Linked DNA regions of Macaca fascicularis. Each later gene encodes a partner of the first gene's protein in a complex. Links are inferred from orthologs where the notes say so. Each region holds a gene or a part of one and is shown on either strand. Other genes may lie near its edges.

Region 1 (2,562 bases):
CCTCATTCTCTTGTGTTCAGGTGATTCTCAAGGTGCTCCTATCAGTGGCCTGGCCTCAAGTGCTACCTGCAATCCCCTATAAAGCAGAAAAGCAAATTCTCTCCAGGATGAGCAGGCCCACCCTTCCGACAGAATGACCAGCTCAGCCCTTTCTCATTTGTCCCAAGAATGAGTCTGGCTCCTGGGTCTTCCCGTTCTCTCTACAAAGGCCAGGTTCCAGCCAAACCAGCTCAATAGCTAATGGAAAAAACTGGCTCCTCAGTGAAAATGGCCGCTCTGATGGGGTGAGAGCCTCAGAAGGCTTCTTCAGGCCTGGGTGGCCAAGCAGCCTGAAGGTAACAAGTGTGTGCAAGGGCTGAGGGCAGAGGGCAGAGGATGGCGGGGAGACCTCATGCACAGGGCCCACCTTTCCCAGGACTGGCCCACCCATTATACGCCGAGTTAGGGGCTGCGTCTCTCGTGCTGCTCTCCCTTCCCACTGCAGGGCGTTGCTCTCTCCCCAGCCACTGTGAGAACAAAGCCTGCGCAGTGGGGATTGACTCTGATGAGTTTCTCGGATTTACTTCCCAAGTGAAGTGCGGGGTGGAGCAAACCTCTAGCTCTGAGGCAGGTCAAGGGTCCAGGGCAGAGCCCAGGGTCCGTGCCAGCAGCTCTTCACTGCTGACTGATTTCTCTGCTGCAGGACGGGCAGGGCCCACCCAGTGCCCCGCAGCAGGAGAGGGCTTACCATTGCTTCTCTTTTCTTTCATTCATTAATTAATTCATTCATTTTTTTAAGAAAGAAAGAAAGAAAGAAAAAACAAAAAACAGGTCTAATGTGCCTTCCTTGGAGCCAAATGGGCAAAAATATAAGGATTAAATCCCTTGCTTAGAATCTGCTACCAAAAGCTTTGTGTGACAAGAAACATTTCCGAGGCCTGTCTGAGGCCTCTCTGGGCAACAGATGAGAGCCAAGTTGCGGCGTGAGGCTTCTGGAGGCACAAGGCCATTCGGGGGGTGCCCGGCTCAGCCTAGCGCCTGAAGCCGGCATGCGCCTTTTGTGTGGATGTGGTCTGTGCTGTTTTGAGCCTTGGGACACTTCCTGTCCTGCAGGAACTTATGCAAGGACAGGACCCTGTATTTCTGGAATCTTCTGAGTGTTCTAAGATAGGGGTATCACCGTCACGACCTGAAGGGCCTCTGCGTGGTGAGCAGAACCTCGTTCAGTTAGAGGGCGTCAGGTACCAGGTGGAACAACACTGGACAACTGAGGTAAAACGTCTCCTGGGCAAAAGACCCTGGGGAAAGCCAATTTCCACGATGATGAAAGTTTTGAGTAAACCATAAATCCTAACTTAAAAGGAGCTAGCAAAATCAATGCAGATAGAATTCCTCAGTCAGACAATGGTTTCGCCAGCCCCTCTGTGAATCACGCTTGGGTTCATAAATGAGAAGAAACAACTTGGGGTGCAGAAGCCAGCTGCCCTCCGCCCCTCCCTGAAAGAGCAGAATCTTTTCCTGCTGTGATCTGCCCAGAGCAGCCACACCAATGCCCATGTGACAGTGGGTTCATCTCTGGTTTTTGGTGACTTTTTCGTTTCTTCTTTGGAAGTCCAAGGTTTGTGAGGTTTCAGGACAAGATGATACAGCCTAGTTTGAGTCCCATCTGAGATGCTGTAGTGGGATTCACCACGGGCTTCAGAAGTCCACTAATGGGAAGACCTGCTGAGGGCACTAGTACAGCAATGAAATTTCCTGGAGATTCTGGGTTTAGTGGCTTGGGGCAGAAGCAGGAGAGGGTGTTCTGTCTCCTCCTCACTCAGGGGCTCTTCGAGGTCAGCACTCAGACTGGAGGCCAGGGCCCCTGCAAAGGAAGCAGAGAACTGCTAAGTCATGGAGGCAATGGAGGCTCTACGGCCACACAATTCAGGGAGGATCTGTGGCACTCGGAAGGGAGGGAGATTCCCAGGAGAAGGGTCTGGTGACCTCCTCCCACGCTATGCCGGCAAAGATGTTTGTTGAATGAATAAATACATGAATGTCTTTCTTCTTATTCTTTGCTCTGGGCTTTTCTGCAGCATAAAAGAAGCTATGGATCTTGTGAAATTAATTCAGACTTACTGTCCAATTCATAAGTAAAGAATGAAGAGAAAAGGCATCTGGTCATAGTGAAAGGGAGGAAGAGCCACTGAAGAAGCAGTGGCTGGAGTCAATGGAAAAGCCCGTGAAACTTCAGAGGACGCTCTGCAGATCCCTGGCGGTGTTCCTGGAATCTCCACTTGTTTACATATCAATATTCTACACAATGAGTTACAACTCAATTATTCCCCAAAGGGCCTAAGACTAGAGGTCAGGACTAAATTGCTTGTCTGAATGAGTCCAGATGAGCATACAGCTGTTCAGCACCGGAGGGAAAAGGAATAAAATTAAAACCTGCGCATCTGCATCCCGTGCTTCCCCAGGGCTGCCGTCGGCGTGCTCAGAGGAATACAAGAATGCCTGCTGCAACACCGAGCCACTGTTGCGGGTGGAGCTGGGTCTCCCCTAGGGCCGTTCTGCCAGTGAGAGGATCGTTTCATCACC
Region 2 (3,651 bases), on another chromosome or scaffold:
GGAGAATCGCTTGTACCTGGGAGGCGGAGGTTGCAGAGAGCCAAGATCGTACCATTGCACTTTGCACTCCTGCCTGGGAGACAGAGCGAGACTCCGTTTCAAAAAACAAAACAAAAACAAAAACAAAAAACAAAAAAAAAAGAAAAGAAAAGAAAAAAACTGTAAAGGGTTAAGGTTTTACAGATACTAAGAATACATTGTAATGATCTGAAAATAAACTACCCAAAAGTCTGTGCTATAATTTAAATGGTATTATAATTCACATTTGGCATTTTTATCCACTTGCCTCTTTTTTGTCTTTGAACTTATCAATTTCTTTCTTCAGAAGCTCCACTCTTTGAAAGGATTCAAGGTTATTCACACTGTACACAAGAACAAAGCCATCAGCAAATGAAAAATAATGCTTTGGCAGCTCCACGCCTTCCTGTAGACCTCTGGTGTCATAAAGATGTAACTGTTCTTTTACTCCTCGGTCTGTTTCCACTGAAGCCATGTACACATCCTCCATTGTTTCGCAATCTTCCATTCCTGGGATTAAGAAAAGAAATTACTCTTTTTGGCTAAGCCAGTGAACTGCTCAGTATTTTCTTGTCCCTTAGAAACTGGCTTTCTAGGTTTCCTATTTACCACATATAATAATCACATTTCTATTTTACTTTTTTTTGAAACAGGGTCCTGTTCTGTTGCCCAGGCTAAAGTGCAGTGGCTCAATCTCAGCTCACTGCAACCTCTGCTTCCTGGGCTCAAGGGATCCTCCCACTTTAGCCTCCCAAGTAGTCCCTCCCAGCTGGGACTACAGGTGCCATCATGCCCAGCTACTTTTTGTAGAGACGGGCTTTCACCATGTGGCCCAGGCTGGTCTCGAACTCCTGGGCTCAAGCAATCTACCCACTTTGGCCTCTAAAAGTGCTGGGATTACAGGTGTGAGGCACTGCACCTGGCATAAACAAAATTCTTTTAAAAAATACTTCTTCTGCATAAAAATAAAAATCCCCTTCTTGTTTATGATATTTTAAAAATGCATTTTACCACTGTTTCATTTGTGCAAGTTTTATCTCTTCAACTAGTCTCTAAGTTTACTGAGTGAAAGGAACCATTCTGTATACACAGCAAATATTCAATAAGCCCTTGTTGATAAAGGAATTAAAGGGAGAAGATTAGCACTCTGAATTTTAATAATAGTGGAGAGACATGTGATAAGACAGGTAAGGTATAGTCCCAGTAATCACCTCCATATTTAAATATGAGGCCAGGTGCGGTGGCTCACGCCTATAATCCCAGCACTTTGGGAGGCCAAGGTGGGCAGATCACCTGAGGTCAGGAGTTCAAGACCAGTCTGGCCAACATGGTCAAACCCCGTCCCTACTAAAAATACAAAAATTCACTGGGTGTGGTGGCGGGCGCCTGTAATCCCAGCTACTCAGGAGGTTGAGGCAGGGAGAATTGCTTGAACCCGGGAGGCAGAGGTTGCAGTGAGCCGAGATCATGCCATTGCACTCCAGCCTGGGCGAGAGAGCGAGACTCCATCTTAAAAAATAATTTAAAAAAATAAAAATAAATAAATGTGAGATACATCCAGAGGTAAAATCACATGGGTAACATCCTTTATCCCCCCAAGTCATACTATGTTATAGTTTTTTTTAAAACTCTAGTTACAGTTTTCCTAAACAACCTATATACTGTAGAATGATTTGTTCCAGATGCCTTACATGAAATGTCCGTAAGTATTAGATTACATAAAATCTCCATAAGTATTAGATTAAAAGGAATAATCACATGGTAATATATAGATTGCATCATGAGAAACCAAAAATTTACTTTCATCAACATAACTCATAAAGAATGTATTCAGTGTTTAGAAAGGTAAAATTATTCATAAATTTGATTATGTATATACATGTCTGTGTCATCCTGTCATAAATTAAGCCCTAAGGAAATTAAAGGTTATCTATTAAGACACAAACATACTGGGCTTTGATTACAAATTAATTTAAAAGCAAAAACTACCAAGTGTTTTGTCACGTGACGTTTTATCCACCAAAAGCCAGTCCTGTTAGCCCACCCCTACCTGCCTCTCCAAAAGGGGGTCTAAAGCTTAGACCTTTTGATATTTTGGTACTCTAAAGATCAAATGAAGTCAAGAGTCTTCCACTAGTTCTCTAGATCTCCTCTCCCACTCCATGCTGCTGGGCAACAACCTATCTCACATGCCAGGGGACGGCTTAAGGGTGCAATCTCTGGGGAGCGTAAAACAGAGGCTGTCTGGCCTGTGGGATAAAGGCAATGAGTTCCACCATGAAAACGGGGCAATTAAGTGACATGCCTGCACACACACATACTGAATGTTGAAGTCCTCCAGCTCTCCCTTTCTGCTCCCAAAACACTGGCAGCCAGGACTTTATCCCCATCCAGAGGAATCTGGAGAATCTGGCCAATGGAAAAGGAGAAACTCCTAAATATACTGACATCTAGGCTTCCCCAACAAATGCCCCTGCCAGATCACTTTAGTGAAGCTCAAAGTCATGAACCCTATCCATATGCCTAGAGCTTCCAATTGGTTTTTTTTTGTTTTTTTTTGAGATGGAGTCTCGCTCTGTCACCCAGGCTGGAGTGCAGTGGCTGGATCTCGGCTCACTGCAAGCTCCACCTCCCAGGTTTATGCCATTCTCCTGCCTCAACCTCCGGAGTAGCTGGGATTACAGGTGCCCGCCACCTCGCCCAGCTAGTTTTTTTGTATTTTTTAGTAAAGACGGGGTTTCACCGTGTTAGCCAGGATGGTGTCGATCTCCTGACCTCGTGATCTGCCCGTCTCGGCCTCCCAAAGTGCCGGGATTACAGGCTTGAGCCACCGCGTCCCGCCCCAGTTGGCTTTTTAAGTCTTATTTATTTATTTATTTTTGAGACAGGGTCTCACTTTGTCATCTAGACTGGAGTTCACTGGGACAATCTCAGCTCATTGCAGCCTCGATCTCCTGGGCTCCAGCAATCCTCCCACCTCAGTCCTTCAAGTGGCTGGGACAACAGGTGCACACCACCAAGCCCCACTAATTCTTGTATTTTTTCGTACAGATGGGGTTTTACCATGTTGCCCAGGCTGGTCTCGAACTCCTGAGCTCAAGCTATCTGCCTGCCTCTGCCTCCCAAAGTGCTACGATTACAGGTGTGAGCCAATGCACTGGGCCTAGGTGTCCATTTTTAATTATGAACAGATAACCAAGGTTTAGTAGACACCTGAAGAAAACAGAGACTAACAAGAAGAGACCACTACAGAGGACACCAACTATACAAAGAAAAGAAAAACAAAACAAACAAAAAACTACCTAATCTATCAAAAAAATAAGATAGCACATCCATGAAATAGGAACAGGATACTGAAAAACAAAAACTCAATAGAAGGGCTGGAAAATAAAGATGAGGATATCTCCCAAAAAGCGGTACAAAAATATTGAGAGATGAGAAACAGGAAAGGAGAAATAAGAAAATTCAAAGACTAGTCCAGAAGGTCCAGCATCCAAAAAGATAGTTCCAGAAAAAAAGAACAGAGAACACAGAGGAAAGAAAGCAACAACAAAATAATTCAAAACTGAAGAACATGCATTTCCATCTAGAAGGGACCCTCTAACTGTCCACTATAGTAAATGAAAACAGACT

Evidence for each region.
Region 2: the proteins of RALGAPA2 (region 1) and NKIRAS1 are in contact, whole or in part, in a crystal structure (PDB 9QU1), measured with the Homo sapiens proteins. The link is inferred for Macaca fascicularis from reciprocal best matches to the Homo sapiens genes RALGAPA2 and NKIRAS1. Residues at the interface, in NP_065076.2 of Homo sapiens: Pro20, Lys21, Tyr51, Ser52, Gln53, Phe56, Tyr59, Glu60, Ile63, Arg99, Phe102, Arg103, Trp104, His105, Tyr106, Gln107, Ser108, Lys185, Ile186, Tyr187, Pro188, Glu189; in NP_001364280.1 of Homo sapiens: Lys6, Glu22, Leu24, Leu25, Tyr26, Glu34, Met39, Glu40, Asp41, Val42, Tyr43, Met44, Ala45, Ser46, Val47, Glu48, Lys54, Gln56, His58, Tyr60, His74, Tyr75, Ser77, Phe78, Lys108, Thr162.

What each region holds. Positions count from the first base shown.
Region 1 is NC_088384.1:66,928,121-66,930,682, reverse strand, and holds part of RALGAPA2 (ral GTPase-activating protein subunit alpha-2), read right to left. Parts: intron 1,844-2,562; coding exon 1,689-1,843; 3' UTR 1-1,688.
Region 2 is NC_088376.1:24,452,057-24,455,707, reverse strand, and holds part of NKIRAS1 (NF-kappa-B inhibitor-interacting Ras-like protein 1), read right to left. Parts: intron 529-3,651; coding exon 283-528; intron 1-282. UniProt on the Homo sapiens protein: Atypical Ras-like protein that acts as a potent regulator of NF-kappa-B activity by preventing the degradation of NF-kappa-B inhibitor beta (NFKBIB) by most signals, explaining why NFKBIB is more resistant to degradation.